Linked DNA regions of Caenorhabditis elegans. The protein of the gene in region 2 purifies or fractionates together with the protein of the main gene of each other region. This does not show direct contact. Each region holds a gene or a part of one and is shown on either strand. Other genes may lie near its edges.

What was found. The genes of interacting proteins can lie anywhere in the genome.
Region 1: the proteins of gst-6 (region 2) and ZK470.6 fractionate together in Caenorhabditis elegans (co-fractionation; one large-scale study listed by BioGRID). This does not show direct contact.

The regions. Positions count from the first base shown.
Region 1 is NC_003284.9:4,175,565-4,181,255, reverse strand, and holds ZK470.6 (MD-2-related lipid-recognition domain-containing protein), read left to right. Parts: upstream 1-3,948; coding exon 3,949-4,047; intron 4,048-4,095; coding exon 4,096-4,315; intron 4,316-4,362; coding exon 4,363-4,576; intron 4,577-4,627; coding exon 4,628-4,772; intron 4,773-4,892; coding exon 4,893-4,985; 3' UTR 4,986-5,191; downstream 5,192-5,691. Other genes in the region: mrp-6 (Multidrug resistance-associated protein lethal(2)03659), read left to right, coding at 1-17, 70-149, 205-355, 407-513, 943-1,063, 1,138-1,241, 1,644-1,847, 1,893-2,141 and 2 more.
Region 2 is NC_003280.10:4,876,142-4,883,752, forward strand, and holds gst-6 (putative glutathione S-transferase 6), read left to right. Parts: upstream 1-3,749; 5' UTR 3,750-3,774; coding exon 3,775-3,907; intron 3,908-4,356; coding exon 4,357-4,844; 3' UTR 4,845-4,964; downstream 4,965-7,611. Other genes in the region: gst-7 (putative glutathione S-transferase 7), read left to right, coding at 5,978-6,110, 6,663-7,150. UniProt on the Caenorhabditis elegans protein: Conjugation of reduced glutathione to a wide number of exogenous and endogenous hydrophobic electrophiles.

The sequences.
Region 1 (5,691 bases), on a different chromosome or scaffold from region 2:
CGACAAAAATTCTGAAGGTAAGGCTAGGGTCTAGGCAGGCTAGGGTCTTTAGAACATTGTTGGTTTTAGGAATGATTCTGAATCGCTTTTCAAAAGACATAGGCCTCACTGATGACTTGCTTGCGTTCACGTACTTTGAATTTGTTTTTGTAAGTTTATCAATAATTTATTGATTATCTTAACAAACTTCAACTTTGTTTACAGGGTACGTTGACATTTGTGGGAATAGTTGGATTAGTCTCCATGGTCAGACCTATTGTCATTCTTGCCTGCGCGTTCATAACTGCAGGGTTCTACTTCTGTAGGAAAATGTACGTTCATCGTTCACGGGAATTGAAGAGAATTGAGGCAGCCGGTAAGCATTACTTCGCGGTTCTTGAAAACAAAACAGTTTTGAATATTTCAGCTCGGTCTCCACTGAACACTACTATTACATCTACTGTCCATGGTTTGTCGACTATTCGAGCATACCGAAAAGAAAACGAGATGATTGAAAAGTTTTGCGCTCTTCATGTAAGTTTCGAATACATTTTATTTTACAAAGTACAATTTTAATATATTGCCAAACTTTTGAGAATGTTAAAAATTTACTAATCTATGTTAAGTCGAGCCCGATTGAGCTCAGAGCAAGTCAAAGGTTTTTTCGCCGCACATCCCTGATCGGAATACTAAATTTAGCTGATTTTAACGTTGCTCAAGGCCATTAGTGACTACAAGAACGACATCCTATCCTAAAACACTACTCGGAAAAACCCTAAGAATTTTTCTTAGAAAGAAGAACCCCTAAAATCTCCTAGAAGAGTGGAAACGACAACCTAGAAAAGATCCTCTAAGACCCACCCTATAGGAAATACCCCCTAAAAACACCTAGGTAAGACCCCCCTCCCTAACGCCAGAGCCCATTTCTCGAACGAACTATTTTAAAATTTGACCTTTTCACAGGATGTTTATATGGCCGCGTACAACATGGGACTTTTGTCCGCCCGTTGGTTCGGAATTTGCATCGACTTTTTGGTGTCTGTTTTCGTTTCCATTGTGGCGATTGTTGTTGTTCTTCAATATGGTAAGTCAACACAGTAACGTTTATCCACCGCGTCCATCGTATCTTATTTCAAAACAACACTCCGAGATTTTTAGAAACCCTGACCGTCGGAGAAGTCGGATTGTGCCTTGTGTGCGCGGTTCAGTTGAGTGGATTCTTCTCGTGGATCATGCGGCAAAGCGCCGAGCTGGAGAACGGGGTGAGTTTATTTTTTGCTTGTTTCTTTTTTTATCGCGGGAGATTCCTCCAATTTGCTCCCCCTTCTCCTCCTCCTGCTCCGCCATCAAAGGTCGAATTGAGCTCACTATGCGGTTGGCGAAACATCATGATTATAAAGAGTTTTGGACAATGCTCAAGCGCGAACTGCCCTGATCAGACGATTGAAGTGGTTTGTCGCATTTTCCACACACACACACACACACACATCACAACAAACACAAATGGAATGTTTGTCATGGTGGCGCCAAATGAGCGACCCACCCGAAACTCTCAATTCGGTCTTTTATTCTAAATGAATACAATGTGAACACAGCAAATGTTGCAAATGAAGACAATACAAACATAGTAGTATGCGGATTGAATTCAAACTGTCGATTTGCAGATGGTTTCCGTGGAACGAGTGCTAGAGTACACCAAATTGAAATCTGAAGAAGAAGCCAGAAGACCACATGATGCATACCTCGATAAACAGCTACTGAACTCTTGGCCAACGAAAGGAGAAATCGAGTTTGAAAATGTATCTGTCAATTATGGGGAGACCAAAGTACTCAAAAATCTTAGCTTTGTTGTTTTAGGTGGACAAAAGGTGAGTTACTAACTTTTTGTTCAGAGTATTACTTCTGAAACTTAGATTGGAGTCGTCGGCCGAACTGGTGCTGGTAAATCAACACTCATTAAAATTATTTTTGGACTGAAAGAGTACTGCTCTGGACGTGTCACTATCGACGGTGTGGATCTGGATCACATTAGTCTTAACTTCAGAAGAGGAGGAATGTCTATCATTCCGCAGGAGCCCGTAATCTTTTCAGGAACGGTCCGGGAGAATTTGGACCCGTTCGATGAGTATGATGATGCTACTATTTGGTTTGCGTTAGAGCAGGTATGGCTTTAATTTATTGAAGAATAACATGTGAGAATGAAATTTTTATAAGCCATTTTTATGGCCCCTATAATCTTGTTTTAACACCATTGGCTTTACAAATTTTATTGAAAAAGTAAAATGTTGACTGGGCAAAGATTGAGCAAGACTTGGACAAGACATAAGCAAGACTTGAGGAAGACTTGGACATGACCCCTCCCAAGTCTGATCCAACTTTTTCTCATATTTTAACCAAGTTCAAACTTCACCTCACCGTAGCCCTAGTTTTGTCCTATGTGTGCCTAAATCTGATCCAACGGTCTAATTTAATACGAGATTCCGAAATTCATATGAAATCGAAATTTTTAATAGATTCTGTAGGATAATCGTTGAAAAAATTTTCAGTGTGAGCTTAAACGTTCCATCACAAAAGAAAAAGGATTGAACGTCGAATTGGGCCAACGGGGAGTCAGCCTGTCTGTCGGTCAGCGTCAACTTTTCTGTCTTGCCCGAGCAATGATCCACCGATCCAAAATTCTTGTTATTGATGAAGCAACCGCAAATGTTGATGGAGTGACAGATGCTTGCATCCAGAAAACAATTCGAGACTTTTTCAAAAACGCCACAATCATCACGGTGGCCCACCGTCTTCACACCATTATGAACAGCGATAATGTAATGGTAAGTGGTTTCTCAACAAGCAAACAATGCCTAGGTTCGCAACTTGCAGGTGTTTGAAAAAGGAGAGCTCGTCGAGTTTGACAAACCGATCACTTTGCTGGATGATCAGAGCTCGCTGTTTTCAAGAATGGCTGCTCAATCAGGGGCTGAAAATTTTGACTCCCTTCGGGCGGCTGCATTGGCCCATGCAATCGATGATCAGTCATCGTATACGGATAATAGTTAAAGTTTCATTAAATTTCCATGTTTTCTAAATATTCAAATCATAACTTGTTTCACTTTCACATCATTTTATAGCAATTCAATTGTTCAATGTCACCTTTTCAAAGGGAATCGAGATTGTTTTTATTTCACTTTTTATTCCATCATTCCATTGAGCACAATAATTCCTTGTTCATACCATGATCTAAGATCATTTCGGTTTTGGCCCAGTGATCGCATCGTCCACATCGTGTAGCTTTATATGTGTCGAATTTAATTTTTCTTTGGTAATATCAGCAATTTTGTTCTGTGGTTTTTTTCTGACTTTCATGATTCTAATCGAAACATGTATTTCATGCAAGCTATTCTTTTCTCCATCCCCCTCATTTTTTTCCAATAAAGAAACTCTGTTATTTTTCTGTTTTTATTTTGTGCTCTGTGTTTGCACTGTCCCATGGAAATAAGCAGACCATTTCTGTGACGAGTGTCTGATAAAAACTTGTCAAGAGTGAGGAAGAGAGCCGTCTAGAAAGCAATGAGCAAATCTTCAAATGCCAAAAATGGCAATCTCGAGTGCTTCACCATTTGCTCTAATTAGAAATTGATCGAGCGACAAATGCGGGCTCTCGAGTGATTTGGCGGAGCTTTGGAACCAGGTGCGAATCGCGTTTTTGTCGGACTTTCAAGAACGCCCCACATGTTGGGCGCTCTACAAAAAAAGACGGTCAGGTATATAAAGCACAGAAAACAGCAGAACAGAGCGCACCCGTCGACCTCCCGCTAGCACCTGAGGCAATTCAAAAACCAACCCGCACCTTTTCGTGCGTCGAGTGCTCTATTCAATTTGCACTCATCTGTGTTTTATTCTAAACATTCGATACACCCAGGTTGCGGCCAGTTCCAAAAAAGTTTCCAAGTGAAGATTTCAACAAAAATTCTGTTAACGATGAATTTCCGTTTTATTCTACTATTCTTAATATTCCCTTTTGTTTTTGCAAGTTTAGAAGAATTTGAGCAAGATAGCGCTGAAATTAAAAAAGAAGTGGTATTTTTTTGTTTACTTGTGTTTGTTTTGATTTAGTTTATTTTTTAGCCTGCTCGTTTTCGATCTTTCAAAAACTTTGGTAGCCATCAAGATGCCAGTAATCAAGCTGCAGAAGTAGCTGGCTCGAACGAAGATAACACTGATGACCCTGAAGTTGCACCGGATGCTCCATACCTTATGGCAGATTCTTCTCTAGAACAAGAAGAAGAATGCGTTGCTCTTCCGAATCGAACACGAGTTCGTCCGTCGTTTTTCCAGTGTAAAGAAGGTACAGTACTTCTAGTAAAACAGAGCCCTAAATACCAAAAATTGTAGACACAAAGTTTGAACTTCACGGCGGTGCAATTACAAACGGCAACGGTGATGATACCTACCCGGTTTCCTTCAACTCGCCTATTCGAATTTTCCTCGACATCACCAGTAATTCTAACAAACGATATGACAATTTGGGCGTCGAAGTGTCAATCTTTAAACGTTCAACCGGATGGTTCGGATGTGGGTGGATGTTTTTACCAAGCTTTGGGCTGTTGTAAGTTGTTTTCTTTGCAGAACACCGAAAAACATTGAATGTTTTTTTAAGGAGCAACTATGATATGTGTGACGACAACCCGTCATGTCCGGTGACTCCGGGACGTCAGGTTATCGAATTCGAGATTGATCCAACAAAGTTGTTTACGAATCTGTTCCGAATGATTCACTATGACTTGGTGGGTACTGACCATAAGGTAAACGCGATGGCTATTGTACTGGAGAGCCGTTGACGGACGCTTAGCAAATACGTTTTTTTTTCTTAAATTGAAATATTAAAAAGAAATCCACTTCTTCAGTATACTTCAATTTTTCAGTCCGCCTACCAAATGATGGTTCGAGTCCGAGACAATCGAGATCCCTACCGAGAGTTGCTTTGTGCTACGATCCAAACTAGAATCACACTCTGAGACCAAGACACTTTTTATTTATTTATTACCAAGATCCTTATCAGCAGTATTTATGAACGATAACCGGGACGCAACCCAATTAATTTAATTCCCCTTCCCTACCTTCTCCCCCAGTGAACACCAGAACCAAGTGGTTTCTATTCATCCAGTTGTTTATGATTATGACTCTCTGTTACAGGTTATCAAAAAATGAATAATATAGTATATTCTGTTTTGATATGTGGGAATGGTCTGGAACAACTAAGGTGCATGTGTGAATAACAAGAATTGAAAATCACATGGGATCCGGCTTTCGTTAGATCTCTGTTTTGACACATGTTTATCTCGAGTAATAACGCTGAAAATTCCATAATTCCATAATCATTCTGCTGAGAGAGTAAATTAATTTCTTGCTACTCAGCGGAGAAAACTTCCAGAGGAATTAATTAGTCAAAAAGAAAAACAACAAACAAATAATATTTGTTGAGTAATGTACACTACTTGCAAAACTTTTGTCGACCAATGAGCATCAAATGCAATATGTTAAGCGATTAACATTAACGAAACTTTAAAAAATATGTATATAAACCTGATCGTTGAGAAAAAAGTAAATAACACCGGGGAAAGTGCGCGGGAATGGTGATAATGAAGTGGAAGCGTTGTTCGGGATAAGACCAGTAGCTGGAATGCAGTCTAGTATAAGAAACCTTTTGCTAACCTTTTACAC
Region 2 (7,611 bases):
AACATTATCATTAGAATATCTAAGCTATTTCAAATCAGTGATGTTAATGATATCTCCTTATTGTCCTTCCAAACGACCCGATGAACCTAAACCGATTTTCTCGTTTTTATCTCTCTCTCTGTTTGTTTTTTGTACTTTCCCTCTCATTTATTGAAAAGTGAAAGTTCTCGAAGGACACTGACACTCTCAGCAAAACGTTCTGATATTGTTAAAATTGATTAAAAAAATGATAACATACTGAACGGTTCCTTCGTTCAAAAAATCAATTTTAAAATCTTCCTGGTTCAACATTTTCAGGTTGTGTAAATCGCGATTTTTTGTAAGATTGGTAGCGTTTGAAACGCTAAAACCTCAAAAATTGGCAGCTATGGGTGTCGAAATGAGGGAAAGATGAACATGGGTGATTTCGTTCCGTTTGAAGAATAAAAAGCGAAAAAAGAGACGATCACAAATCGCGCTCATTGATTTACTGGCCGCTAAGCGAGATGTGACTAGCAACATTTTAAAGAGAGAGAGAGAGAGGGGATTGGATTGATAGAGTTGCTTTCTTAGGTACGTGAGAAATTTTAAGGAACAAGTGCAAGCTTGAGATAAGATTCTAGAGATTCTAAAGATTCTACAGAAGACACAAACGTTTCGAGCTGCCGGAACTAGTTTAATAGGGATTATGTTTAAAACTCAAAAAATACAGAAGAACGAAATGGCATAATAAAATACATACGTTTTAGATTCTTGAAAATTTCCAGTTAAAGTTTTGGAAAGTTTTTAGTCACAGTTTTGGTTAATAAATCAATTAACCAACACTTTGTGCTCACTGAAAAATTTAAAGCAATTTTACATGCTTTAACACCTACAGTTTACTAATCCAAGTAATTCGAAAAAAATTAGAGTATATGTACAACTCGTAGAAAAACTAGTTTTTTTAATAGGCTTCCAAACTTATGAGTGGTGACATTGAGTAATCTAGACTTTATCACTGCAAATAGAAAATTAATTGTTTATTTTAGAACCATTGGAATGATTTTCTACAAGTTCCGGCTCTTCTCCCCTTTGAAACTTTGCGGTTTCGCATAAGGCGGTGCTCGTACGTATTTCGGTCTAGATTGATCTCGCTATAAAATAGTTGACGAACTTTAGATTGAAGTATATTTATTTTTGCATTTTTTATTCAATTGGCATTTTTTCTAAAACATAATTTTTATGACAAGAAAAACTTGGAAATATTCCAGGCAATTCAGACAATAGCTCAATCGGACCCTTTTTTGAAATTTTGTACCTCCATAATAAACTTTAGCGAACAACTGGAGCTTCTAAATTTTCAGATAAAAATTTCCACATTCGCAGAAATCGGGCGTTGAAAAAAGTTACAGATTCCGGAAGATCAAGAAGTCAGTACTAGTTCCTTACTATTTTAAACATTTCTAGTAAATAGTATCTCTATTCCAACTTGCTAGAAACTGAAATCATAATTTTTAACAATCAAAATGTTGTCTTTTGCAGATCCGAATACGTGTAATGTTCAATTACAACATTCGTTAAGTGTCTAGATATTTCAGAAATATCTGTACACAAACCTGAAAGGTTGCCAAAAATTGCCAAAAGTAGTGCCAGCTTGTAATTTTTCGGAGAATTCAAGACAAGCTTAAACTATATATCAAGGCTAACTAACTAACCCAACGAGTAGGTGTTTTGTTTAAAATTTTCAATATGGGTTTTTACAAAAACTAGCCTAAATTCTTTGTCGATATAAAAACAGGATAGATACTAAAAAATATGTTATATTTCAAGTGGGCACAACTGTAAAAATTGACACTAACTTCCCATTAATTATTCAAAAATTCTCCTCATTTTTCATTCTGCCAATGAAAAGCGATATCAATCAAGCCGCAAATAACCGTTTTCTCAAAAAAGAACCATAACCAATGACAGGGCTTTCTTCATCTTCTTCTTTCATCATTCTTCCATTTTCCAACGTTTCCTGAAAACGAGAGACGTGAGAAACTTGCTAATAAACTGCTGCCTGTTGTGGTGTGGTACTTGGTGAGGTCTCTCGTCCGTCCGACGATGAAAAACGAAAAAGTGATGGAAAAAGAGAGAAAAGGATTGAAAATGAAAATGAGTGAGACAGAAATGGAATGAGAATAAAAAGTTAATGATATCTGAAAACAAGGTATAGTCATACCAGCAAGAGTAAATTTCCAAAAAAATAGTTTCACAAAAATGTGAATGTTCACTTTTTTGCTATATTCACGATAATAACAATTAATCAAAAATTCTACTAATATCGCAGATTTGAAAAAATTGAATTGCAAAACGGATAAACTTGCCAGCAAAAGTGGAAGCCTCGGTGGTCAACTTAATTTTCTAAACCCACTAAATTGCGTAACTTCAAGCTGCCGTATCTGGAAAAATACAAGTCTTGAGCAAAAATTGCTAACTAACAAAATGATTCAAAATATTTTTACTTTTATTTGCATTACTTTTCACTGCAAAAAACTAATTATTTGCAGAGTTGCACAGAGAATTTTTAGGTCGTTTCAGAGAAGAAATCACTTAAAATGAACATGAAATTCGTAAATAGCGTGTTCTCAGCTTTCTAAAAATATTTTTTTCGACCCAAAAATCGCAATTTCATTTTTCCGCTCATTTTTCGAAAAGCAAAAGTCCCATTTCTTATTTTGGAGCGGAGGACGATTTTGGAGATGAGCCCACATTTTTGAAAGATTTTCTAGGACATTGTAGAAACCTCAAAAAAATGATCATTTTTCAAAATTTCAAGTCGATACGTTGGATATGAAGATTTTTATGACGGAGATTGGATTTTTTCAGAAAACGGTCTATAACTTGGCGGAACATGAAAATATCGAAAAACTTAAAACGGATAAAATGTGGAGAAATATTTTTCACTTACTACTTAACAAAATTTATCTTTTGAAATTCAATGAATATTGAGTTATAAAGGGTACAACAAAAGAGTTCTCAAATTTTTCTTTGAATTTTGGAAAAATGGCTTTGACTCTGTGTAACTCTACAAAAAGTTGTTGATATACAAATTAATGTAATAGAAAGAACAAATGTTTCTGATCATTTTGTTAGTTAAAAATTGTTTTTCAGACTTGTATTTTTCGAGATACGCCAGTTTGAAGATGCTCAGTTTAGCGATTTTAGGAAGTTATTTGGTCCGTTGAGTGTGATGTATACCAAGATTGGAACTTTGAAAATATGAAAGTATAGGAAAAGAAATGCAACTCTAAGGCACTTCAGGTGTGAGCGGCAAATGTTTTTTTACGGCAAAAAAACGGGAAACCGGCAATAACGGTAAACCGGCATTTTGCCGGAAATCAGAAATTACCAAAATTTCAGAATTTCAATTTTAATCGGCGAAATTGTACGCATCCTATAAATGTTCCTAAATCTATTTTAATAAGTAAGCAATTATGTGTTTTTTTCTTAATTTCAGGTCTTTCCAAAAAAGAAATTATCAAGAATTGACATGATATCAAGAAGTAACAGACTGTATATTCCCCATAAAGCTTTAAAATTAATTATCCTCTCAAAGCCTTTTTGATTTCTGAAATCACGGTTGATCATACTATAGTCAATCTTGAAAGTGATCCGAAAAACGCTGTGCTCTCAAGTTTTGGTTTTGTCATCAAATATCTTCAGTCATATATTGAAAAGTAAATAATGATAGTAGAGCACACAAAAAATGATAAGAATAACCCAGTATTTGATGATAATTCACATTCATTTTGTAGGAAAAAATTTCACGAAATGGTTCACTACAAGCTCGTCTACTTCCCATTAAGAGCCCGTGCTGAAATTGCTCGACAAATCTTTGCCTATGCAGGACAGGATTATTCCGAGGAGAATCTGAGCTTTGAACAATGGCCAGCACGCAAAAATAGTGAGTTTATACACTTTTGGCAAAGATAAATGGTTTCAAAACTTGAAAACTACGTTTCATACATTTCGGTATTTGTTTATTTTTTAAATTGTAGATAATTGCAAACAAAAGTTCTCTAACTTTTCACATCCGAACTAGAACAGTATTCCATGATTCAATACTTTAAAAAAATCACTTTGCAAATTGGGATTATGCTTCTGATTGTTTTTTTTATTTCCTGATTTAGGGTGATCAGTCAGAAGTTCAGAAAAAAGGTTGTAGGTACGAGGAAAACTTGATGCTTGAAACTTTTTATGGAATTGTGCTTTCTGACAACATCTTGGACACTGTGGAAAAGTCGCTCCTGGAGATCGAACTAATCCGAAAAATTTTCTAAGACCTTCATACTTTTTTAAAATTAAGATTAGATTTTATTTTAAAACACTTCTCCTCAAATTTCAAATTTCTAGACACTCCATTCGGTCAATTGCCAATTTTGGAAGTCGATGGAAAACCATTGGGACAGTCATATGCAATTGCTCGGTACTTGGCCAGAGAGTTCGGAATTGCTGGACAAAATGACACCGAGGCGGCAGAAGTGGATGCAATTGCTGATCAATTCAAGGATTATCTCAACGATGTCTCCCCATATTTAACAGTTCTTGCTGGATTCAAACCTGGAGACAAGGATCAACTGAGAACTGATGTTTTTGTTCCAGCTTTCAAAAAGAATTTCGAGTTTTTCGAGAACATTCTGGCATCTAATCACAGTGGTTTCTTTGTTGGAAACTCTTTGACATGGGTGGATCTTTTGATTTCGCAGCACGTTCAAGATATTTTGGATAAAGATTTGGCAGTTGTTGAGGAGTTCAAGAAGGTTTTGGCACATCGTAAGAAGGTTCAGAGCATCGACAGAATTCAGAAGTATATTGCAAACCGTCCAGATTACCCATTCTAAATTGAAATGAGTTTGCAATTTTGTATTATTTTTTAATTCATATTTCAAGAAGCAATTTTTTGCTAATTTGTTTTAATGGAAATCGATGTTTCTAAAATATCTTGAATGAATTGTTCTTTTAAAAATTTTATGGTAAAGTTTTCAGCAGGATGTTTCTATAGAAGCTTTTTGCATTGCAAGAGTGTTGAAATATACAGGATATTTACAAAAGCCTGGGAAGTAGGCATGCTTTTAGGTACAAATCAGACCTACACCGCCTTCCTTTGTGGTTTACCATCATAGCTAAAACTTTCCGAACATTCCCTGGTGAGACACAATGTTCAAAGCACAAAACCAATCACGTCATAATGTTAATTTGACTTTTATTGTCAAAAATTACAAAAGCGTCGTTTTCTGGAACATGAACATAATAAGAATTTTCAAATTTCGGTGGGCACAATAAATATGTAATCTTTTATTTATTTTTGGAGGATAGTCTTTTCAAAGGCAGGTGTATAACCCTCAAAAGAAAGCACGTTTGTGTTTCAAAGTGAGACTTAAATTATTTCAAAGACAAATTCCATAGGAAATCATTGTTCATCAGGCACCTTCCCAGAAATTAGGCTGTAGGCAGGCACGTAGGCTGCGGTAAATGCCTACGCCTCTTTTGCGCGAGATTATGAAATTGTGTTGTACTGTCGGAAAAATTTCAGAAACAAAAAAAAATATTTTTTGTGACTTTTTGTGTCAGTTATAGTAGTTTCTTATCATGGTATCTTCAATAATAATGGCAAGCGTAACAAGATGATTGATGCCATGGGTTTATATTTGTGAGTAGTCACAAATTGTGACACAACATTCCCTTCGAAAGATCTGGAAAAGTCACAAAACCTTGCATATATTTTTTTCAACCAATATTATTTTGACCTACTCTGTTCATCGTAACATTGCAACAACAAAAAACGATGACTACACTTTATGATTTCTAGTCAACAACGTGCGCGCAATGTGTAGAGCAAATGATGACAAACTACAGAATATGGTGAGTGGAGAGACGACAGACATTTGAGAAATGGGTATAAATAGAGACGGCCGGCATTCAGTGTTCAACCCTTCTCATCGACCACTCGATTTCTTGCTTGGTTATTTCAACAATGGTCCACTACAAGGTATCGTACTTCCCAATTCGTGGAGCTGGAGAGATTGCTCGTCAGATCTTGGCCTACGCTGGACAAGACTTCGAGGACAACAGAATCCCAAAGGAGGAATGGCCAGCTGTCAAGCCAAGTGAGTTTGGGATTGAAAATTATTGTTTGAATAGGTGCATAGATATTGAAATTGTTAGTTGAAATCTTATAAGTAGTTCCAAATTAAAAATTCATTTTAGAAATAGTTGCAGGCTTTTAGTTAAGCTGTCTTTGGTTTTATCAAAAAAATTTTGACTGACAAAATACGTGAAGAATATACTTTTAAATATTGTCAGTTAAACATTTTTTGATAAAAGTTAAGAGAACCGAGATGTAAGCCGTTAAAGTAGCAGGTACGGTATATTCCTTACCTTTCCTGTTCCTATTAACTAGGTCACACAAATTGCCTTTTTGCCTTTAGAGTAGATTGAAGTTGTTATTGAGTTACTTTTTGAAAGTTATTGAAATTTCGGTGTTCGAATGAATAGACCTTGAAAAAGGAAAAAAAAATTCAAGGCTAAACTCTAGGCAGTTTGACACCTAGAGATGTAAACAAAGTGCTTGGTATGACTGAGAGATAGAAGTTTGGAGTCAATGATTGTTTACTCAAAGAAAACTTTGAACTTTAGGTTTTAATTATATTATTTTTCAGGCACTCCATTCGGACAGCTTCCACTCCTTGAAGTTGACGGAAAGGTTCTTGCCCAATCTCATGCTATCGCCCGTTACTTGGCTCGTCAGTTCGGAATCAATGGAAAGTGTGCATGGGAGGAGGCTCAAGTCAACTCGGTTGCTGATCAATTCAAGGATTACCTCAACGAAGTTCGTCCATACTTCATGGTGAAGATGGGATTTGCTGAAGGAGATCTCGATGCTCTTGCCAAGGACGTCTTCCTTCCAGGATTCAAGAAGCACTATGGATTCTTTGCTAACTTCCTCAAGTCGGCTGGATCCGGATACTTGGTTGGAGACTCTTTGACCTTTGTCGACTTGCTCGTCGCTCAGCACACTGCTGATCTTCTGGCTGCCAACGCAGCTCTTCTCGATGAATTCCCACAATTCAAGGCTCATCAGGAAAAGGTTCACTCGAATGCCAACATCAAGAAGTGGTTGGAGACTCGTCCAGTTACTCCATTCTAAATGATTTCCAAATTCACATGGTCTCTTTATGTATTTTTGTATTGATATGGGATAAATGATTGCATTGAAATCTATTTATTCTGAAAAGTTCTCTAAAAAATAAGATAGCAGAAGCAACCGATATATTTGTTCAGACATCCGAATCATCATGAAAAGGCACTTTTTGAACTGAGTTGTCAGTAACATCTGCGCAGTGGGAAGAGTAAATGATGACAAACTTTAAAGTTTCCAATATACTCTTTATTTTAATGTACATTTATCTAATTCAACCAGTTCATTGAAACAGACATAACGCCAAACTATATTTGTGGTTTGTTGTCAGCAGAGTGCGATCAAAGCAGTGATGACTTAACAGTACACACACACTTAGAGAATATGAGTATAAATAGAAACTTCTTGGTTTTTATTTCAAACTGTATCACAGACTTGTACTCCCCAATTACTTGAAAAGTGGTAGTAAT